Drosophila melanogaster: one gene and its partners. The gene in region 1 interacts genetically with each later gene. Each region holds a gene or a part of one and is shown on either strand. Other genes may lie near its edges.

The links.
Region 2: of pzg (region 1) and mrt, changing one suppresses a phenotype caused by changing the other (phenotypic suppression), as found in Drosophila melanogaster (one study listed by BioGRID).
Region 3: of pzg (region 1) and PCNA, changing one enhances a phenotype caused by changing the other (phenotypic enhancement), as found in Drosophila melanogaster (one study listed by BioGRID).
Region 4: of pzg (region 1) and dap, changing one suppresses a phenotype caused by changing the other (phenotypic suppression), as found in Drosophila melanogaster (one study listed by BioGRID).

The regions. Positions count from the first base shown.
Region 1 is NT_037436.4:21,284,469-21,290,814, forward strand, and holds pzg (putzig), read left to right. Parts: upstream 1-1,630; 5' UTR 1,631-1,968; coding exon 1,969-2,599; intron 2,600-2,659; coding exon 2,660-5,019; 3' UTR 5,020-5,078; intron 5,079-5,137; 3' UTR 5,138-5,842; downstream 5,843-6,346. Other genes in the region: CG12974 (uncharacterized protein), read right to left, coding at 1-2, 587-667.
Region 2 is NT_033777.3:27,276,749-27,284,438, forward strand, and holds mrt (martik), read right to left. Parts: upstream 5,914-7,690; 5' UTR 5,869-5,913; intron 5,100-5,868; exon of another isoform or gene 5,005-5,099; intron 4,283-5,004; exon of another isoform or gene 4,237-4,282; intron 3,964-4,236; exon of another isoform or gene 3,829-3,963; intron 3,682-3,828; exon of another isoform or gene 3,613-3,681; intron 3,295-3,612; 5' UTR 3,244-3,294; coding exon 2,430-3,243; intron 2,356-2,429; coding exon 842-2,355; 3' UTR 501-841; downstream 1-500. Other genes in the region: CG3368 (uncharacterized protein), read left to right, coding at 7,094-7,156, 7,210-7,690.
Region 3 is NT_033778.4:20,261,216-20,264,723, forward strand, and holds PCNA (proliferating cell nuclear antigen), read right to left. Parts: upstream 1,669-3,508; 5' UTR 1,507-1,668; coding exon 1,399-1,506; intron 1,339-1,398; coding exon 664-1,338; 3' UTR 539-663; downstream 1-538. Other genes in the region: plu (plutonium), read right to left, coding at 1,811-1,914, 1,969-2,373, 2,431-2,446; RpS18 (ribosomal protein S18), read left to right, coding at 2,893-2,895, 3,032-3,217, 3,278-3,508. UniProt on the Drosophila melanogaster protein: Likely to be an auxiliary protein of DNA polymerase delta complex and is probably involved in the control of DNA replication and repair by increasing the polymerase's processibility.
Region 4 is NT_033778.4:9,710,331-9,716,762, forward strand, and holds dap (dacapo), read left to right. Parts: upstream 1-1,990; 5' UTR 1,991-2,609; coding exon 2,610-2,773; intron 2,774-2,832; coding exon 2,833-3,233; intron 3,234-4,580; coding exon 4,581-4,753; 3' UTR 4,754-5,926; downstream 5,927-6,432. Other genes in the region: sqa (spaghetti-squash activator), read right to left, coding at 6,189-6,432.

The DNA of each region.
Region 1 (6,346 bases):
GCCTGAAATAAAAATAACAATAAAATAAGAGGAGTTCTCAAAACGTCAGAGCCACACTGAATAAAAATGAGCACTATTTTTAATCGGTTTTTGTTTGTCATGTTTTTTTAAATTTATATTTATATTGAAAATTAATTAAATAAAATTGTTTTATCGTTTGTTCTTCGTGTTCCGTCATTAAAGAGGTTGGATGGCTTCTAGATCGTGATATTATTCATACCCAGCGAAATATCCAATTTTGTATGTACTTATTTACGTTTACGTTTTTTAGTGTCCCAATCTAGATCTTTTGTTCATTCACTTGTTTACACACGTCAATCGGCATTATCTGATATCTGTGGTGCGGCTCAGTTCTTCAGTTTGGGAGCCGTCCCGGATGAGTCAATGAGTATTATACTCGTATCATGATTAGCTCTCCGACTGTTGGAATACTGGACTATTCGATAGGGAGAGACCATCCAATCTTAGTAAGTGCGCTCAATGTCAGGTCGAACATCTCCCCATATCACTTATCGATGAGCTGGGAATGGGGTCGCGGTCGCTTGGCGGCCTAGACTGTAACATTGAATTGCCAGCGCCGACTTACCACTCCGAGAATTCCGGCCCAAGCTGCTACCGTTTTAAGGGAGCCAAAGTGCTTGATTTTTGCCGCTGGTGCTGAATACATTTTGCAGTGACTGTTCGATATATAGGGGTGGTTTCCAGATACTGGGAGATATTCTCACGCCCCGTATGCGGGACTCAAATCGATCGGGTTGAGTGCGCTTTTGCAGTACGCGACGTCTGTTGGCCAACTGAACGATCGAGCCGGACAATTGAGTTCGCCACCCGTTTACTATATTTCCCGATAAACCTTGCGATAATGGCTCTTATAACAAAAAGCCAACTGGCCAGGGGCTTTTATTTTTTATGTTTCGCTTCGATCGAGGCGGTATCCGCTCGCTTTTCGTTTCGTTCGTTAACTGAATTCTGTGGTTTGGCTGGAACGTTTATCAGGTCGTATGTTATATTATCGCTACTGATAAGAGAGCCCCCTTCCCTTCAACTTTCCTTTGGCTAAAAGATATACCTAAATCGAATAGGTAAAACTGGAATTTCGGAATCTTATCGGTCCTATGTATTAGCACATTAGTGATGTTGGCCTTTATCACTGCGTAAATGCAAGTATTTAATGCTTACCTCACAGGTTGGGTATGCCAAATATTTACGAGGAGAATATTTGTGAATTTAAAGTGGGCGGGCAAAGGCGCCCTCTACTGTCTACAAAACGCACTGTTAATTTTGACATTGCATGATAGGAATGACGCTGAGCCTTTTTTCAAGACAAAATGTGCTAATTATTTACCTTTTACAAATACAAGCACAACAAGTAAGTATTTATTTGTATTTAACCACTCAGCAATCGCAATAAGAAAAATAAATGCTTTATTATTTCAAGTAAATAATTACGTTATCGTAATGAACGGCAACGCTGTGAGATTTTCTCTGTCTGACCATGGTTGACCTCCCAGGCAGCCGCCATTTCCGTGGCGTGCGAGTGAAACGACTAGCCCATGTTTTCCCGCCGTGCCAGGGCAGCGAGCATGCTAAAGAGCGAGACGACCATACGCGTCCGTCGAGAACTGCTACAGCACATACGCATTTTTAACCCTAAAAAATACAGCACCGAGTCTTTAGTACAGTCAAAGTGACGCCGCGACAACTCAGAACGAAACCGAAAATTAAAAACGGAAGAGATTGTTGTTCCTGGTGTCCAAAAAAGATAGATTGTTTCGTTCGAGTGGCTCATCCGTACCCGATCGATACATAAATCCCAGCAAGCTGCCAAACCGGAGTGCAGAAGTGTAGTTTGTCGTAATCGCCGATTAATATTGAAAGGTAGCGGCTTGCAGTTGCGCGTGTAGCGCCCGCACAAACCGAATAACACCATCACTACGGCGTGCTCACCTGAATCCAAAACGCCACGAAATGAACAACCAACTGAATCCGGCCACCTACCGCAAGTTTAACAATCTGCTCAGTAGCGGAGCGGTCACTGTGACCGGTCCCAGCCAGCCGCGAATCCTCAAGTCGACGCGTATGGTGGTACCCGGTGGTGGCGGAGGAGGAGGTGCCTCTGCCGGAGGAGCCTCAGCCGTTGGCGGCGTAGCACAGCAGCAGGCGGTCAACGATGCAGAGTCGGGTGGCGTGGGTATCGGCGGATTAGCCACGCGATGCTATATCTGCGATGACCGCTGCGAGCCACAGACTTCGCTAACCGATATGTGCACCACGCACACTTCCACCAAATTCCCCAACAAACTGGCCCAGCTCGTGGGCGAGGGTTTCCTCGTGATTGTTTGCGGCGAGGATTACGTGTGCTCACGCTGTACCAACCTGGTGAACTACTACGACCGCCTGGAAAACGATGTGGAGCGCGTCAAGACGAACCTCATCAGTTTGCTTAACAAGAAGTATGCCATTAACGAGGATATGGGCCAGGAAGGCAGTCCGCCGCTCAAGATGCAGAAAATGGTCGGCGGATCCGCCAATCGCTCGTTGGAGGAGAGTCCTAGTGCGGATTTGCTGCGTCCACGTAAACTCCTGCAGGGAAACCCAGGTAAGTACATAAATACAGAAATTATAAAGCTTTCCTAATGCATATTCTGCAATCGTACAGTTGGCCAGTCCAAGATCGCCCCAGGAACCACCCAGAGCAGCGTCCAAGGCACCCAGACAGTCCAACGCAAGGCCACCAAGATTTATAAATGCACCTCGTGTGACTATAAAACCTCGGATATGCGGCTGTTCAACACGCATTATGAAACCTGCAAGCAGCAGACCTTCCAGTGCAAGACCTGCCGCAAAATCTTCCCGCACTTTGGGGCCATGAAGCAGCACATGGTGCGCGACCACAATACCGCCATGGATAACACGTGTGCCATGTGTCACATTAACTTCGTGAACGAGAACAGCCTGCGCAAGCACATGGAGACGAATCACGCTACCAATGTACTGGTGACCAGCACCACCACCATACCGGCATCAGCTGCTCCCGTGGCTGCTGCTGCAGCTGCCGCTGCAGCTGCTGCCAACGAGAATCTGGTTGGAACATCGCTATACACATGCAATCATTGCCAGTTCAAGTCAACGGACAAGGTCGTTTTTGATGAGCATATGCGCAAGCATGCCGCTGGTAAACCTAAGCCTTTTAAGTGCCGCCTGTGCTCTCAGCGCTTTGAGACGCGCGAAGCTGCTACTGTGCATGCCAAACAGCATCAGACCAACTTCTTCAAGTGCGGCACTTGTTCGATGACCTTCCCGAAACGGGAGATGCTTGTTAAGCACTTCGAAGTGCATCAGAGTCCTTCCGCATCGACGGTATCGCCCAAGCAGTCAGTTAGCCAGAACCTGAACACCCAGAAGCTCCTTCAAGAGACCATTGATGAGGCACTGAGCGATAGCCTGCCTGCTTCGACAGCTGCTGTGGTGGCAACCACCGAGTCGGAGAACAACATACGCTTCTTCTCGTGCAGCATTTGCTCACTGACTTTCATCCAGGAGACATACTACAACCACCACATGGAGACCCACAGACGTGACAAGAAGGCAACTTCGGCCGGAGCCACTGCCCTAAATTCGGCAGCTACGGCTTTACTAAGCGATGAGCCCGGAGAGGCAACTGGTAAGGCCGGTGACGAGAGCGGCGAGCAAAACGCAGAGGCCGACATTGAGAGCCTGTTTGAAAAGCTCCACTCCGACAAGAACGAGAGCGGTGAGGCGCCCAAACCGGGAAGCAAAGGCGGCGAGATGGTTATTACCTCGCAGGAGGGCAGTGGAGGCATAACCTTCAACATTACTATCCCGCAACCGGACGGAGACCAATCGCAAAAGGATTCGCCCAATACCACAGCACCTGTCTCTGTTAGCATTGACATGCCAAATTTGGATCAAGCCGAAGACGAATCACAGTCCCAGGGCAGCATCGATGCCAAGGGCGAAAGCGGCGAGGCCTCCTCTGCCGATAGCAAATCCAATGCCGCACCGGTTTCCATGCCCAGTTTAGATGATGACAACGAGGCTGCAGCTGCTGAAGCTGAGGCCTCAGAGGAAACCAAGACGGCTAGCAAAGCAGGTCAAGAGAAAGCCAAGGCCAAGGCTGGAGAAAGCGCCAAGTCAAAGGAAGCCGCCGCTGCTGAGGAACCACAACCATCTGACGAAGGAGACGTAGTTGCTAAGCGTGAGGCTACAGATACGCCCACAACTGAGTCGGAGGCCAATGCCACGACCGCTGAAGCCGGTGAATCTGGCGAAGGCGAGGTTACTGCCAGTACTGGAGCCGAGGGCGAGGCGGGTGAAGCTGCAGGTGGCGAGCATGTTGCCATGGAACTTGACGAAGCCATGCAGGCACAGGTGGAAGGTGGCCAGATCAAGTTCATTGTTAACGAGAACGGCCATCTCCTCCAGCTGGACAACCACATCCTGACGGACGCCGAAGGCAACCAAATAATTGTGCAAGATCCCGAGCAAATACAGCAGCTGCTCCAAAGTGTAGGAGTTCTGCAGTCCGGCGAGGGACTTGAGGGCGAAACCCTCCAGATGATGACCGATGGCAGTGGCCAGATGGTACTTGTCCATGGTGACAACAATGAACAGCAGCTTATCGATGCCTCCCTGTTGAACTCCGAGGGGCAGTTAATTATCCAGCAGGGACAGGATGGTGAGGAAGGCGCTCATGTCATTAGCGAGGATGGTACCCGCATCCCAGTGTCCGTGTCGTACACGGAAGATGGCCAGCCCATCGTCCAGGTTCAGCAACAGGTCCTGGAGGCCGCACAGCAGGCAGCCAGCGCTTCCGGAGGTGCAGATGACAAGGAGGCGGCTGCCGACTCGGCCGGCGAGGAAGTGCAAGTGTCGGAGGCATCTAGTGGCACGGCATCCACCACCGTTGTTGCCACGAGCACGGCCAGCAGCACTGGTGGCCCCTCCGGCGGCAGCTTTTTTGCCCTGGAGGAGTTTACGGAGACAAAGACCGACTAGGATTGGCCCTAGGGGCGTGGTCATGACCACTATACCATACTGGCATGCGAAGAGGACTGGTAAGTTAAAGGAATCACCAGCGTGAACTGGGATATTCATACTTTTTCGTTTGTTTTAGGTTTTAGCTGTGGGCACGCTCAAGATCTCTGGAGGACTTTTGCACACCCCAATTTGAAACCCACTCCCTGACACCCACAACCGAACCAACTTTACAGACAACTGAACACGAAGACAGAAAAATACACACACGAACCTTTTCAATATATATTTACATTTAGTATATGTATTAAACACTCCAGTAAACTAAAAGAAAGATTTCTTATTACCCAAGCAAAGGAAAAAAACTAATTCAATAAATCAAATTGTTCATTCGGTCCGTTTCGCACTAGGCTGCCAGGGATCTCAAGCCAGATCTCTTTGGTTGCCTCTTAAATATCGTATCTAGGTTTAGTAATAGTATAGACAAAACTGCAAGATGAAAGCGACAAAAAATGTATAAACATAGAGTTTATGTGAGAAACTTGGAATATAATAAATGTATGTATTTACAAGATAACTCAACAATTACACTAAATAAATCGATTTAAACACAAACATTTGATGAAAATTAAGTTCCGAAATCGGCACAAATCAATTCAGAAATAGTGATGCTTCCTAACACCTAGTGATCCCCGTAAAATGTAAGGATAGGTGAACAATCCCGCTTTCCACTTCCATAAACTCCAGATTCACACCCAAAACAAACAAACACAGGCCGCAAACACGCCCAAATATATGCATGCACGTATATATGTCAAGCAACTTGAAATATATAATTGTAAAGAAACGAACATCGGTTTCAAGTTCCTTTATACTCTGTGAGCGATCTTTGGAATTTGGTATGCATGTAAATCAATTCAGATAAGTTAATTAAACGCGCTGATGGCAACTGTGTTCCAATGAATACAGATGACACAGAAGGCAGTCCCAAAGTTTACATATTGTCAGTATGGATCCAACCATTCATTTCTCAAGTCAGTAAGTTCGTTGACCTTTAAAATGGATTAGTCGGTTATGAATGATATTTTCGAAGTATGCATACCAGCGAAACTTTCGACTCGTTCTTAATTGCCCAACACCTGTTGGCGGCGGATGAGGTCGACTATATTTAAATGTTCAGGTAGTTGATTAATAAGATTTAATACTAAGTTGGATACTAAACTGCCAGCGGTGGCATTAAAGCATTTGGACTGTCATGAAGGCCTTATGAATGCCCCGTTCCGATCCATAAATCAGTGAATGTTGTGATTCTGAAAACAGCAACCGGATTGGCACGTGGATGCGGTTT
Region 2 (7,690 bases), on another chromosome or scaffold:
GAGGAGGAGGGGCGTGGTATCACAGGGTCGCGGGGTTGTCGTAATGGTAATTGTAAAATAAACACTAGCTGCTAACACTTTGCTTTAGGCGTTTACGGATCGTGCTAATCAGCAGAGAGTATAGGTACACTAATCCATAGGACAGGACAGGCGCAGGCACAGCACACACAATGGGCATTAACTAATTTAGTGCACTCGCAGATTGTCATTTTAAGCTAGCTACTATTTCATGTTCGGTTTATAACAAAATTTTGCAAGAACTCTAGGCGGTAAGTTTGATTTCTCGTAACTTTAGGGCGCTCTACTTTTTCTGTTTTTCGTTTAGTTGTAAATTCTTATTTGTTTCCCAAACTAATGCAATACTATTTAATAAATTTCGTGTTAGGAAATTTACAGTGATTTCGAAAATGTGTTTTTCTAACTGCATTCATAGTAAATGAATATTTTTCAACTAAGAATTCAAAGCCCACTTTCGATACCCGAACAAATTCACACATATTCTGTTCATGTAATGTACAAGGTACATATATATTTTGATATATATCATATGGTTACCTAAGTATTTTGTGGTTTCAATAACTTTACAGCACTTTGGGGCATAGACGGTTGATGAACAATAAATACATTTTAATTTACTTTAGGTTTCATTTATGTATTAATGCTTAAATATAATCAAGTCTTTTAACAATGCGCGGGTCTGGCTCTAGGAATATATATATATATATATATGGTTAGTATATATAGCTTAAGGAATGCGATTGGAATGAATCGGTATTAACAATGGTGTTTGTCTTTTTGGGGTAATACTTGGCGATGTGTTAGGAAGTTAGGAGATAGCCATCTAGTGCCCTCCGCTAATGATTTCGGCATTGTTGGAGCCCTCGGACATGGCTAGATTGGACATTTCCAGGTCGCTGTCATTGGCCATGTTCTCGTCGTAGTCGCCTTCGTCTTCCTCGTCCTCATCGTGCTCATAATCATCATCTTCATTGTCTTCATAATCTGGCTCTTCCATAGTTTCCTGCACATCATCGCCAGCATACCCTTCTCCATTTTCATTGTCCTCCTCGCTTTCCGGAGTCTGAAGCTCGGTTTCTGGCTCGAACGGCATTTGAGTTTCGGGAATGACACCTTCCTTATCGTCGGGCTCCATTTTAGCTGCCTCGGAAACTCCACTGACCAGCTCGTTGGCTGTTCTCAGCAGCGCATCTGTTTGTCTGCGCAGCGTCCGCATTACCAACGAGTCCTGCTTCATCTGGAACACGTGCTCCCGCCGTGCGATCTCCTTCTGTTGGAGGAAGAAGTCTTGCAACATCTCCTTCTGTGCCGTGCGCATGGCAGAAGCCAGTTGGCTGAGTTCCTTGGCCAGCAGCTCGTCCTGACGCTTTCTGCGCTGCTTGGTCTCCTCCTCGCTGGACTTCTTTTTGCTCTCCTCGCCAACCGCAGGGTGAGATCGGATATCTTTCGGAGCTGAGCCGTACATATTACTGCTGCGCTGCAGTTTCACCGGCACGGGCATTCCCATCACCGGACTTTGGCCCAATCGACGCTTTCGCGGCTGGAGCTGTTGGTGCTGCACCGGTGTCAGCTGGTGGGAAGACATCATGTGGGCCTGCCTGCTGGTGGAAGCACCTGCTTGCTGACCAGCTATCTGATACTTCGGTGGCGGCCCGCGACCCAAGAGACTGGACATTGTGGACGGCGACTGCGGTGGACTGGACGTGGACTGATCGATGTCGTGAGTCATTCGATCCGGACGCAGCGAGTAGCCCGTGTCCCTCATTGGCACCGTCTTCATACGCATTCCTGTCGACTGGACACTGATATCCCTGGGCAGTCGCAGCCCGGACTGACTGCTATTCGGATTCTGCCTTCTCGGTAACATTAACTTGCTGTGTGGGTGGACAAAGTTTATGCTGCTGGTGCTCTGAAGCGGCACGGACCGGCTCATCTGGCCCGGATTGGGTATCTGCTGCTGTCCCATCTTGGTGAGCGTCGGTGGCGGGCGGTCGATCTGCAGTATGCCGTGGGTGGGTCGTCGCAACTCGCCCTTGGCAAAGGAGGCCACACGCAGGGGAGGTGGTGCCACCGGCGTGGATGAGTAAACGCTGTCATCTTCGGTGTCATCCACAGTTACTGGTGGCGGTGAAGGCGAGGCTGGCGCTGTGGGCGGCGGTGTGTTGGTGGTGTCCATGCCCAGATCCACGTCGGGTTCATGTTTAACGGACACTATAAACGGCAAGTGGGGCACATCCTCCTGGTCGCCGTTGTCGGCATGGGAGCTTCCTGCCTCGTAGTCGAACGACTCCATGTCGGGCTCGGACACCATATCATGTTTTTCGGTCGTCTCATAGCCTGCAAATATAGAATGGTACGTGTTTTCAGTAATGACTCTCTTAACATACTTTCATTTTGACAATCCCACTCACCTATATCAATTGGCTCGGGTTTAATGGGTCCCAGTCGGAAGCCGAATATGGGATGCTCCACTCCGAGAATATCCTCCTTGTTATCATCGCCCGCCGTCTTGGAACTGTCCATCGAATTGCCGCATTCACTAAGGCTGCCGTTGACATTGCTGTTGCCGCCGCCATGATTTGTATCACTTAACATCCGGCAGAGCACGCGGTAAACCTCCTCCGGCACCACCTTGGGCACACCCGTACCATGTCGCGTTGTTGTGTTGTACGTGGACTTGAGGAACTTCCACTTTGTCCAGATCTGAATGCTGGACTTCTTCACGAAGCCCTTGCTGCGCATCACCTCTTCGATCTGCCGGAAGACCTGCTCGCTCTTCATGTTCCGGTCGTTTAGCTGCTCGAGGGCGTTCAGGTTCTGCATGATGCTCAGCATCTCCAGCATTTCGGCCCGGCTCCACAGGTTGCGTTCCGGCCGAGGGCTATAGCCGAGGGAATCGCTCTTCACCGAACTGCCGGCGGAGTAGGGTGGCGACATGTGCGCCTTAATGCGCATGGGCGTCAGCAGTCCGTCGACATCGTCCACCACGCCGTTGCCCGTGGAGGCCGTGTGCAGGAGGTGGTTGATGTCCTGGCCGCTCGCGTTGCTCTGGTTGCTCTGGATGTGACCTTGGCTCTGACGCATGTTGTGCTCCACTTTACTTAGCAGCCGCATCTTCGTGTGAGCGGCCACCGTCGTCGGCGGAGAGGAGGAGCTGTTGGTCGCTCCTGCAGCTCCGTGACTGCCAGACGACGTGGAGCTATCCAAGTAGCGAGGCATTAACATGGATGTGGCTCTCAGGGTGCACCCTTTGATCAAGGTCTTAAATTCCCGATGCTGTTGGAAAACAAGCAAGAAAATATTCCAATATTAGTTTAAAAATTGGTTTTCGAAAACCACGAAATATTGACTTGACAACCGATGTCATAACCAGTTTTGGAAAACTCGAAAATTCAGTTTTTAGACACATTGTCAGTCATATTCATATAGTAGGCATTCTGTGCCCAAAAATGACTACTTCAATCTTGTTTTAGTAATCAAATTTTATTTATACTAAAAGCATGCTACGCGCTTCATTTGAAGGCTATATTACATAAATCACATAGGTATTTTAAACTGCAGAAAAACTTGATTAAATATGATTCGGATTCTAACTTCTCAATCAGCAAATCGACTTCCGTTTGATATGTATACTTCTGCCCACTGGAAATTCACTTGGCAGATGGTTTAAAAAAAAAATGCTGGCTACGAGCCAACGAAAAAATCCAGTTTTGGACTTTTTGTGTCAAAAGTTAGGCAGTCGTGGATTCGGTTAGGTTTCGGTTTTCGTCTTCAGAATCCACCACCAACTCGATATTTACTGGCACATACACATTTGTTTGTGTAAAGTTGACGTGTTTCCAACTGTTTAACACATTCCGAAACCGAAATCGAAATCGAAACCCATCAAAGGTGGCAGCTCACCGACACGCTCGCCGTAGCCAAATAAATGCACGAAAAGAGCTTACAAATCTAAAGCGACGAAACTTATATGTATATATATATATAATTTTTTATCGATTTTGATTATTTCAAAACGAATGACAGCAAAAAGCTAACGTAAAAAACGAACTCTCCCGCACACAGATACACTGCGACAAAGTGGCAAGTGGAACACGCTCAATAACAGAACATATTTGAGATAGTGATTTCCAAATGCAAGTAAACAAGATAGCGTCGAATGCCGAAAACCGAATACAGCGTAGAAATACACATTTAAGAACCGATTACGCATCTTACAATTCGGAGGATGATACGCCGCCAGTACTGAACAACGAGTATGAATGAAAGCGGGCAAGTTACATATAAAGATTCATAGTGGCGGGTTGAAACTAGAATCGAATCTCAAATTTTGAGTATTTTTCCAGCGACGACGACCAAGATTCGCACAGTGGTTGGGGGTTGTTCGAAAAGCAGCTTTCAGAATGACATATCACATGATGTGTGCTCTGCATGGCGGATTCTTCCTTGGCAGCCCCAATTAACAAACTAATTCCGAACTGGCACACTAACCACTGAATTCCCAGATGGAAATGTAATTGCCAACTTAATTTAAATCGCCTGCAGAGCACTGTAATGAAAAAGATACGATAATAAGCCAATAGATGGAGCACGGTGTAGGGGGGGGGGGGTGGTGTGCGGGTTGGCGAGAGCCGAGAGAGTGAACTAAACTCGCTGTCTTGCTCTCGCCACAGCTCGGCTCACCCACACACACACACGGACGGGGACGAACGAATTTACGCTTGTTATGTGCAGTTGAGAATTTTTCAAGAAAAAGAAACAGAACGTAACTTTCCTTCACAGTGACTAACATCCATTATTGACAAGTGATATTTTGTCTGGCATTTTTCGCTAATCGGCTAATGGCAACGGTTGATAACTTAATGCACATGCCTGCCAATTAGTTTCAAATAGTTCGTTCGACTTGAACTATTTATTTATTTCCAAGCAGAGCAACACCTTGCACACAAACACATGCACGCGCTCGCTCACTGCACACACACTTACCAGCGAGAGAGCGGCGAGAGAGTGGAAAATACGACCGTTTTCAAGCGTCAAAACTGAGGCAAACCGTCGCCGTTAACGACGATTTCAATACTAATTTTTAAAACTCGAAAAAGCGACGAACGGGCCTACAAAAACCCAACTATATAAACGGCCACCTGTGCTGGTGTGCGTGTGCGCTACGACGTTATATATTCGTGTTCGTACTTGTATTCGTATTCGTATTCGGAAGGTACAAATAATGGTTATGGTCGCTAGTTGTTTTTGAGATTGCGAGAGATTGCCGGAGAGACAGTTGCCTATTATTTTTTATTTCGCCTTTTCTTCTTTCGCTGCCATTTACGTTTTTATTCCGCTCTTTTTTTAAGAACGGGGTTATTTCGGGGAATATATAAATTTATGGGTTCGCGCGCGTACACACACACACACACACACACACAGCAAATAAAAACTGCAAAAAGCTACAGTTTTAATGTAGTATACACATGTTGAAATCGAGTATAATGATTTTTCAAGTTTTGTTTTCCGCTCGTCTGCCATTCTCCGTGAAGTGAAGAAGACTCTAACGGAAAGTTTCAGACTATCTATAATCTTTAAATTCAATATTGCAGATTAAGTTAAGAGTGTTAGCTCAAAGGTTTGAAACTTTGGAGATTTAAGCCCGTTGGATAACTGAGCTTAGAAACTGAGCAATAGTATTTAAAAATAAAGCGAAACTCACGGCTTAACGGATTTAACTATAGCATTTCAAAGTTCTTGTGGGAGATTACTTTTGGTGCGCACTGTAGTCAGAGCAAAGTGAACGCAGATAATCGCACTCGACTGTAATAACTTGCTTTTTGTGTAATAGCAAAGATATCGAATTACCTTAGGCCTTTGGGTATTCGATTTCAGGTTCTTGTCGACGGGAGACTACTGTAAATTGGATTCTCAGTAGGAAATCGAGCTTCTGCCAAGCTGTGTGGTAAACAAGGTTTTCGTGAATCCTCTTACAGGTGAGAAACTACCCCTTTGCGGCATAAGAACTCCATGTACACCGAGTACATAGGCGACCTGCTGAATACTGGTTCAAAAAATTCGCATTCAGCCGAGCTTCCTTGAAATTTTCGGGGTGGCAGATGCCGAGAATGCGAATAGGTTGTATCTCGTATCGCATCTGAAAGCCATGTGCTGAAGTCAGTCGAAACTAGATTTACAAGTATTGGGCGGACCGAAAAGATGGGTTGCGGGGAAGCTGGAGTTTTCGAACTGGGAGCGATGCCAGAACAGGAAACTTGAAATCGGCTGCAGCTATTCTCTGTGGATGAGCAGCACGACGCTGGGAAATGCGGAAAGCATTTGCATTAATTACGCATGGCACCAGTTCTAGGAAAATCCACACGTTTATCTGAATTTCATGTATGCAAATAAATAAACAAAACGCGAGGCAAACCTTGCAAGCATTGAATCCAAGAGCACAAACACATGCATTTTCTTATCATAACGAACTTTGTAGGGAGCACTCACTTGAAAAAACAAAGAGCCAATTTGGTCTTCGGTTTGTTATATCGATTGCATGAAATACCTTTAAAATATTATATTTTTCTCGTTTCCTGTACGCGCTGTGGTTGTCAAGAAAACTTTTGAACTTACGGATCTGCAATTTCTGCTATCGAATTAATTTTATCGGTTGTATCAAACAGCTGCTTTGTGAAAGCTTTATATTCAAAGATTGTTGTTAATAAAGTTTATTAAAAAAAAAAAAAATTTATCATCTTTTTAATATTTAAAAACGCTGTAAAAGAAAACAGAATACAGTACCCTGTACCTAGTTAACATTACCAGACAGCCATCCCTCACAAAATATAACGAAAATTTTAAACACTGAGTCTCTAAACGAAGTACTTGGTACCGCTATAAATGATAAATATAAAAATTATATGTCACATTAATTGGAAACATAATTTTTAATCAACAACGGTTGGGCGTTTCAAGTTTTTAGATAACGAAAAGCCATCGATTATCGATTACCGCGCAATTATCGTAGCGCAGTGGCCGGTTTTGTGGAGCCCTGGTTGTGGTAAGACGAAAGTTGTGAGAATTGAGATTGGGCATGTCGGAATCTCCGGGAAAACGGCCAAAAATCGGACCCAGCGATTGCCTCTGCTACCTGCAGGTGAATTGAGTACGGCACGGGGACTGAGGTGTAACATATTGTGTTCTTTCTAGGGCCTGGGAGATGTCCGCCCGGAGGATGCCGCACTGCAGCTGGCCCAACGAATACAGACGGAGGAGGATGAGGCGGCGCAGGCGGACACGTGCAGTGGTGCCAATCAAGCCGCCCTGAACATTAGCTTCCGTGTGTACTACCACATAGTGCACAAGTACGAACTACAAGACTCGCACTTCGCGGATCTTTTCCAGCGTTTGACCAGCGAGCAACCCACTGCCTTCCTGATGCTCCAATCCATTCTGCTCACCGACCATTGGAAGCGTCTCGATGCTGCGCTGCTGGAGGAAAAATGCACCACTGCCATAATTGAGGCTCTGCAGCGCAACAATCCCAGCCTGATGGCCGTGCTGAAGGCCACAAACTTGCTGGTAAAGAAGTTCCCCAAGCTGCAACTCCTTCCGCTGAAGTTGGAGCACTTCTATCACTGCCTGCAACGCCAGACGCAAACGGGATCCCGTGAGGAAACGCTCACGCTGT
Region 3 (3,508 bases), on another chromosome or scaffold:
TAATCTCAAAGGTTTTTTTTATACAATTTTATATGACACAGCTTTCTATGTTTTATATACTCACAAACTAAGTATAGGATACGTATGTATGTAGCTTCTAGCATAAGCAAGCCAAGTATGCAAGTATTGGAAGCGTGTAAACACGCATTATTTATTACATGTATTTACATACGATTAATGCTCTTGAATGCAGGCACACACTCGCTTAAAGCTCTTTGTTGCAAAACTCCCGACTATGTGCCTCATACGGAACGAGTACTTATACACAGTGAATAGAATAATCGCCCATTATTACCCTTGATTTAGAACTCCCCAATGGTATGTCCAGATTTTCTGCAGCTGCGGAGGCTAACAAACTTCAATGTCGGAGATATGCCAAGGTTTTTTGTCTATCCCACGCCAAGGTGTTTGATAAACCACTACTCTTAATATGTATATGTTTGCAATCTCTCTCTCCTTAAACGATACCCAGTGTTATATATGGAATGCGAATAAATGGTTATTACGCCCTAAAATCAATTGTACAACTCAGCCAGTTAACATTACACAGTATAGCTTTTATTGATCAAAAAATGCGGATTTACTTAAAAGTTAGGAATGAAGTGAACGTGGGAAGATGAGTGGTGACGATGCGGGGACATAAATATGAGGAACACAGCTGACTTATGTCTCGTTGTCCTCGATCTTGGGTGCCAGGTAGTAGCGAATGTGACCCAGATCCTTGATCGCATACTCGACTACCAGCGGAACATCTGCGCACATCGACAGCTGCACTTGGGTGGACAATGGCGTCGCCTTTGTGAAGGCGTTCAGGTAGCGACAGGCAAATGTCAGCGTCACCGGCTCCTGCATCTCGATGATCACCGCCTCCTCCTCCTTGTCGACAGAGCCGGTTTGGGCTAGCTTAATGTTGGCGGTGCCCACATCGCCGCTGGCCGAGAACTTGACGCCCTCCTTGGTGCAGCAGATCACAACGGATTCGCTGAACTGCGCCAGATCGCGGCAGATGCGAGCGAACTCCATGGCCGGCATGCGGACCACGCACGAGAAGTCTGTCTCCGGTATGCCCAGGTGCTCCTGGTCGAGGTTCATCAGTTTCATCTCGTAGTCCGATACCTTCTCCTGGTTAGCCGATTCGAACATGATGGTGACAGTGTCGGCGTTATCCTGCGCCTTCATCGTCACATTGTCCTCGTTGTTGGCGCATTTCAGAATCTTGGCCATGCTGCCCAGATTCATGCCCATGGAGAGATTGCGGTCGCAGCGAAACTTGTCGAAGCCATCGGAACGCAGGGTCAGCGAGACAAGCGACACATGGGAGTTGTCCATGGCCTGTAGCTGTAAGTTGAACAAGGTGTTAGGGATATGCATTTAAAATCTTTTTTGTGCAATTTTTACCTGAATGCCGGAGTCGCTGCAATCGAAGGTTGCCTCATTGAGCAGATCCTTGATGGCATCCAAGATCTTCTTCAGGATGGTGGCTTGACCCAGGCGTGCCTCGAACATATTGAATGTGTTTTATTATTTAAATACTGATGACGGGCTTAAGAATTTAACAGCAGTAATGTTACCGCGGCTGTGACTTTGGGATGAATGATTAACGTGGGCTGTTTTTTTTTTTTACTTTCAGGCGGGCTAAATGAGCGGGATAGGGATGTGAAAAGCCACGGGCGATATCGACTGAATCTATCGATAGCAGCCAGCGAGCGGCCTGCCAACTGGTTTGATTAACATATTATGTTCACACTTTTTACAGAGTATATTTATTTCAAACATTAAAATTAATAAATTATTACAAAATGACAATACATTAACGCAGACGATTGCTAATAAAAGTGGGAGGAGAGCGCACATTGCGCTTATCTAAGCGGCCTGCAGCTTTAATCATTCCTCGCAGCTCTGCAACTCCCAGACCTGAAATAAATTTACTTTAATGTTACTATATAAATACACTTGATTTTTACTAACCATGCACTGTTTGAGTTTCTTGCACGCCCCTCGAATCCAATTGAGTAAAATAGGCCACCAAAGCGGAGTGTTTTTGCAGTGTAGCCACACAGAGGGCCGGGATCATCGAGGACAGATTGAAATCCTTGTAGGATCTTCGCCTCAACAGTTCCTTTACTAAAGTCAAATGCCCAGCATAAGTGGCCAGTGTCAGGGCATTTTGACCAAAATAGTTCATAGCAAAGATATTTGCACCGAATTCCAGCAGCGTACGAGCGCACTCAAATCGACCCAAATAGCAGGCCTTCAATAGGGCGGTATTCCCGTACATGTCCACATCCTCGAGGTTGTGCTGCTTGCCGTCGCGAGCCATGGTGCACACGATGCGCAGGGAAACGACATCGTCCTGTCCAACGCAGCTGAGTGCTTAAATGCAATGCATTTTTATCAATATTGGAAATTCGCATAGCTAATATAATTTACCATTTATTTCACCCATTCTGAAAAGCTTTCATATAACGGTGCTCTAGGGATGCAGTACGATAAAACGTATTACGAAATGTGGGGAATAAAATATAAAATATAAAGAAACATAAAATATGAAGTTTAATTTTTTAAATGTGCACACAGAGCATATCTAAATGGCACTTTAAGCATTTTCATTGAACAAAAGTTCGGCGCCTTTTGAATTTTTAAATTTGCATTAGTGATGGACCAGAGTGCGCCTAACAGCACACGGCGAACTATTAACAGCACGCGTCCCGAACGTGGCAGGCAATTTTAGGTTTTTTACTCCGCCTCAGGCAGCCACATTAATTCGGCCTTCTTTTCTTTTCCCGTTTCCGGTGAGTGGTGTGCTGCCCATTTGATTTTTCCAAAATTCTAAAACAAAATACCTCTTAATTCTTTACAGTGAGGAGTAAATACGAGAATACAAACGGCAAAATGGTGAGTTACCTCAAATATGTGCGATTCTGAGCGCCAAACGACAAATTTATAGTGAATTGCAAATGCCGTTAGCTGTTGGCAAAAATGGCGTGGTTTATATGCATTATACTAATGTTTTTTCTTTGCATTCTTGCAGTCGCTCGTCATCCCAGAGAAGTTCCAGCACATCCTGCGTATCATGAATACGAACATCGACGGCAAGCGCAAGGTTGGCATCGCCATGACCGCCATCAAGGGAGTGGGTCGCCGCTACTCCAACATTGTGCTGAAGAAGGCCGATGTCGATCTTACCAAGCGCGCCGGTGAGTGCACCGAGGAGGAGGTAAGTTGAGCACGCCCAATCCGTTCGAGACGCACACCAACCTAAATGCCATGTTTGCAGGTCGACAAGGTGGTGACCATCATCTCGAACCCTCTGCAGTACAAGGTGCCCAACTGGTTCCTCAACAGGCAGAAGGACATCATCGATGGCAAGTACTGGCAGCTGACCTCCTCCAACTTGGACTCGAAGCTGCGTGACGATCTGGAGCGTCTGAAGAAGATCCGCTCCCACCGTGGTCTGCGTCACTACTGGGGCCTCCGTGTGCGTGGCCAGCACACCAAGACCACCGGT
Region 4 (6,432 bases), on another chromosome or scaffold:
ATATTTTATACGAGACAAGGCAGGACTGGGCTTTGTTGAGGTTTTAGTAGATACGAGATAATGTTCTACCGACCGCGCGACCTTTGACTAGGAAACACTGATGATATTTGCCTAGCCCTTATCTACTCGGGGGGGGGGGGGGGGGGCCATAGTTGAGTGCATATTAGGGAATTCGGATAAGATCCAATTCGATCCTACCAGCATTAAGGACTGCAATCAAGTGAATACCTTGAGTGCCATCCAATGCCCGCACGTTCCACGACAATCCTTTAGGATCTGCCCTCATAAGCGGGACACTTGAGAACCGCTTTTCCACCTCTTTTCTCAGCCTTTTTTTTTTTTGTTTTTCCGCGTGTGTTGACACAACCCATATAAAGCCAGGATATCCTGCTCGGGAGGAAATTACTTAAAGGGATCACGAACTCTTCCCCTTTCGAAAAACTCCTTCTTGAGTTGTTTATGTTTTCAGGCATGACTGCCGCCGAACGCCAGTAGAATTCTCAAATTTGTTATAAAGTGTGTAAATTCACGTTGCTTTTCTTTTTGAGGGAGGGTGTGTCCCATAAACAGAAAACCGAACCACAAGGGATCGGATCTTATGGGAGTGGAAAGGAACGAATTATGGATGGATGATGATGCTGCCTAATCGAACGTTCGTCAAACGATCTCTGCCTTTTTTGGGGTGATTGCACTCCGTTTTTTCTTGTTTTTTTTTTTCTCGGGTTTTTGTGTGGAAAGCCGATGGGTTTTCCCATTATTTCGTCGAGTGCAAAGGACAAAGCAAATGATGTCTTTAGTCTACGAATCTGACTTCCAAGGCTTTGTCCCAATTCTTTCCTTCTTATTTAATTGGATTTGTTCAAACAATATAAATCTCGTTTTATTGCCTTTGGTAGTGTAATTTAATTTTTTACGATTTTGCACACGAAAGGAAAAAAACTTTATGAAAATGCAGCACGAAATGAGCAGAAAACTTGCGTTTCACAAAGTGAACCATAACGGAAATTTGAAATACCCAGTGCTATGCAAACACCACAAGGAAATTCGAACTAGACGTGCACATTATTTTACATACATACATACATACATCGTACAAATGTATATTTGGTGGACCAGTGCCCCACAATGCAAGCGCGATTTTCCCCTTGGCAACACGAGGAAAGTGAAAAGAATTGGTGCCCCAAATGCCCCCTGCCACTTCCCTCCGACGACTAAAAATCCAGTTTGAGGCCAAACAAACCAAAACCATAACATCGTTTTTTCGTATCTTCCCATCGCAATCGCAACTAAAAGTACAGCTCCACCGATGCAACAACAACCAAGAAGGCAGCGAACAGAACACACGGATGGAAATGGCAGGGATGGGTAGATGGCGTGCGAGAGAGTGGGAGACATATGGTGAGAGAGAGAGAGGTTGTGGAAGTTGTGACGACTTTCTTGATACGCTCTATGAAGGAACCTTGGACAGTTTAAAATATAATTAAATTGGTTATTTCAAAAACATTAAAAATAAAATCTGGTTGAATACTGTTTACAAATGAACTATGGGCTTATGAGCTGTGAATATTATTTGACAGGAAATAATGAAAATAATGATAATAATAATAATAATAATAATAATGAATACGTATTATATATTGTACTATATGATGATTCCAACAATCAATAATTATATTAAAGCTCATAATATCAAAACTTTTAAACTCAGATGCCTTAGTTAAATTTTGTTAGGAAACTTTTATTTTTCTGAGTATTTTTTATACGTTTGCTATATAAGTTTAAAGAACAATTCAAAGGAAGTGCATTGCTCTTTCGATATGATTAACATTAAAAGCGCATTCTTTTTCCCTATCTCTTTCGCTCCTGCTGCTTTTCCGATCTTTTCGAATTCGAGGGTTGCTACAGAGAGAGCGTGAACCGCTCTGAATTTCCAGTTGGCAACGCCTCTGGTGGTTGTTTGACGTTTGCTTTTGCCCAGTGTTTTATTTATCTTTTATTCGTTTCTCCGAGTTCGTCGAGAGAGGTTCGCTTCGATCGGTAGCGCTATATTTAAAAATCTAGTGCGCAGTGCGCTCATAGCCGAAAAGGTTAACAAACATCGCTGTAAAAACGACTTCAAGTTGTAAAGACAAATATAATACAAAGGTGCTGCCATTGGCAGCTAACTCATACAAAAACTCCAACGAGACCCGCAAACGTTTCGTTTTGTGAGTCGACTAGCAGTGCAGTGTGTTCGAATCGCCATTCAAAGATAGTGACCAAGTGCTATTGGACCAAGGCATTTGTTTATAATTATTTTTATAAACAATTGCAGCGTGAAATTTCACTTTTGAACGCAGCAAGACGTAAAATAAGCTGCAGCACAACGCACACACAGAACACTCGCTCTCCCTCTCACATACACACACGCTCGCGTGTGGAGACCGTGATTTGTATTCGTGTGGAGACTGCCTCTCTCTCTTTTGGGGCTGTCTGAACACAAAGTTTTGGCGCCAAAAGTTTGACAGTTCGCTTTGGCGTGTAATTCGCAAACAAGTGGCAAGAAAAGTGCGTCTCAAAACAGAGTAGAAAACACTAGGGGATCCCAAAAAAATATATATTGACTCAACATGGTCAGTGCCCGAGTCCTGAATCCTGTGATGATCAGTGAGTTCTGCAAGATGAGCAGCAGCCCGGCGGTGAGTCGCAATCTGGCATGCGGTCGTCAGTTGAATCGCATAAAGCGTGACCTCTTCGGTAGCTCCAAATCCGCCGAGGGTACAGCCAACAAAACGTGAGTTTCTATAATAACAGTTGGATTTTGACCAATAGCTAACAATATATCCTCTTTAGACCCTTTAATTCCGAACTGGAGCGCCATCAAGAACTGGCCACGCAAAAATGGGGCTTTGACTTCCGCGCCGGCTGCCCTTTAGCTGAAAAATCACCCTACATTTGGGAGCGCGTCAGCTTCCAGGAGTCGAGCTTCGCCCCAGAGATGTACACCCTAACACGGGCCGCCCACGTACGCCCTTCCGCGGATGCAAGTCCTAGCGACATGGACATTTTGGTCAACGAGCGCTCAGAACGGGAGAACTTTGGCTCCAATCTGGTCAATTCCTCGCTAGAGTCGAACACGGATAATGAATCTTGTTACGACTCCCAGGACGAGTCGCTGGCAATGCGGCTTAGCTCCTCCAGCACGACAAGCACATCCTCCATAGTCCTGCGCAAGAGACAGCCAAAAATCACAGGTGAGTTTTGGGGGATGTTCTACACCATTTTGATCAGTAGAGCTTGACGGTTCCCAGGGTCAGGCTTCATTTCACTTCGATAGACGTTACAAAGTGTTTTCCCATAGCTTTCCTTTTATTCCCTGTTTATTTTCGGTTCTCAGGAGGAAGTTGAGGGTGTTTTTTTTTTTTTTTTAACTTATCAGGCTTGTTTTGTAATCGGACTGATACGATATTATTTTTCAAAATTATCTGTAGAGTAGAGAGTATTATCTAAAAATTTCCGAATATAGTGCTCGAGATATAAAAGTAGATTCGTGCTCTTTGTTTTGCAAACTCGATGAAAACGATTTTCATCAATGATTTTATGCCAAACCAATATTTTGTGCAGGATTTTGTACTTACAATACTAAACTCCATAAGGGGTTGTTTGATTGGTTTTAAGTCCACTCCTTCGCATTTATTGTTTATATTCACGTTTTAGTTGTGGGCGTTTTTCGTGAAACTTAGACCCAAATTATAGCAATTAGCCAATGCTTTGTGGGAGATTTATTTTCGTCCAGAAGGGTAAGTCAAAGCTGACTGCAGCTGTTTCAGCTCCTCATCTCCCTAAACCGAATGATTCTCTTCTGATCCTCCACAACGCGGGGGTTGGTTTCCAGATCGATAGCATGCGGGCTGGCTGGCTGCATCTATAAATGCCAACAGCTGTGACTCCGCTTTGTCTATGGCCTGACCTCATTATAGAAAACGGGAGAGGGGTCTGGGGATCGGCTTTCAATGCACCACCATCCAGAGTCCATGGTCTTATCAAACCTCCCTTTGATTGCTTTGTACTGAGCGTTTTTTATAAATGCCACTAGCACATGCATGTGTAATTATAATCATAAAAAAATTGTGTCTGTTCGGAACATAATAAATGCACCCGCATCGGGTGGTCAGTAGGGAAGCCTTTGAATCCCCCAACGCCTCAACTCGCTTTACTTAAAGTGCACTTTTTGCTGCTTTGGCCAGTAAGCTAGAGCTCATAATTTATGCAGTTATGTAGCACCACCACTCTTGCTTTCACCGGACTACCTGAAAACCGGCTAAAGACCGACTGTCTGGCTGCCGTCTGGCATTTATTTGCTACCCCTGTGCGGATCTGCAACCCTCTGGTAGGGAAGTGCTGCCGTCCACGTGCCACAATCTGGGAATCTACCCGAAACCGAAATCAAAATGTGCAAAAACAGAAAAACAGGCGGCGCCTGCTGTTTAGGGATCAGTGACTTGTGAACAGGGGCAACCGGAAATGCAGCAGCTGACTTTGATTTGGCAATTCCACCTAACACGTATTAATAACACTCGTTTTCCTTCCTTTGTTTACAGAATTCATGAAGGAGCGCAAACGTCTGGCCCAGGCACCCAAGAAACTATCGCCCGCAAAGCGCATGCGCACCAGTTCTCCCAGTTCGTCCGCCACTTCCAGCTCCAGCTCCAGCGGTGGATTTGGGTTGGGGGCACACTTTGGGGCGATGTTGAAGCGGCCGCGCCACAACTAATGCTCCAGATTCGCTGGCCAACCCACCGAATTGCAATTTGTAATTTTATTTTTTACAAGCCACTGCGATTGTGTAGTATTTCCTAATTTTTTATTACGAACCTTTTTATGCAGTGCAAGGGCGACAGTTGCGAATATTAATCGTTAGTCTTCAACTACTCGTAACCAGTAATTAGTTGTAAGTCAACCAGTAAGCTCGAGCTAAATGAAACTTTTTAGATTTCTCTAGTGAGAAATGCCATAAACTAAGTGATTAGTTCTTAACAACAAACAACTATTGAACAAGAAGAGAGAGACCGCAAGCTAAATGGAATTAGTCTTAACTATCTTGAAGCCAACCGAAATTTAACCTTTATAACGATGGAATACTAACTTTACATAACTTTGTGAAATCCTTGCAAATTTCGCCGGCAACTTTTGCATTTGAAATTTGCCGGGTGAACAAAACTCATCCTTTCTCTGCCCTGCCACTTCATCCAAGTACTGAAACTGAGGGGAGAGTAGAATTGAGTTTTGTCTTGCATATTAAGGGCGCCAAAACGATGCCCCAATAAGCCGCATTTCGGCTCATTGCTGCTTTGTTTTTGCGACCTACTAACATTGTAACCAATTCGACCAGTGGAAAACAAAAAAAAAAAAGAGGAATGCCTTTGAATTAACTTCGTCAATTTCTGCACGTTTGGATGCCTTATTTATATGAATGCCGCCGAATGGACACAAATTGTCGCGCTCTCATTTCTTAACCAGTGCTAAAAATGTCTTTTATGATTTGCTATGATCTCTGGGCAAATTATGAAAACAATTTTGCCTGAAACTATCATGTACAAAAACTAGATTATTATACATACTATACACATAGGCAGAGCCTATTCTTCATAACACTTATACAAAGCATTAATTTGTAAGGCCTAACTAAGAACAAATCCAAAGTATTCTCCTAATATTTATATGTATAGACACTCTATGTATAATTAAACCATATTCAACTCATACATCAATAAACAAAACAAAAACAACGCGATTGTCCTGTTTCAAAATTACCAACACATCCGCATTACTTTGGTTGTAGACGTAGCAGTAAAATGTAGTTTACTAAAACAATTTTGTACATTTTATAAGTTAATATTTGTTTTTCTGCAATAAATTGTTTTTGATTTTCTAGTTGGTAGTACATAAATCGCGTTTTTAATTTTTAATTTCATTTTTATAAAATATCGTGGGATGCCAACAAAATTCAATCCCGCGTCAATAGAAACGAATCATTGCTTCAGTTTTATTCAATAAATTAATTTGATTTATTGCTTACATCAAGTACATAAATATTAATTTGTTCCATTCGACGCTTTGTAGATTTACCTATGTGCCAATTAGTTGATCTGTACTCTACATACAAATATATATATCGCATATATACAGAGGGCTGTGGATATGGGCACCTACTTGCCCGCCGCCTTCTCCTCCAGCTGGGCTTGAATGTGGCGTACGTTGTGGCCGCCGCCATTGGGGTTGTGGCGCTGGAAGAAGGCGTTGATGGAGCTCATGGAGCGGTACTCCAGATTGTCGCTGACCCGCCAGTCCACGCTGATGCTCTGGTGACGACCCACCGGATTGCGGATGCGGGTCTCGTTGTATTTCTCCAACAAATGCAGCAGGCAATCCTTGGTGGTGTTGGCCGCCTCC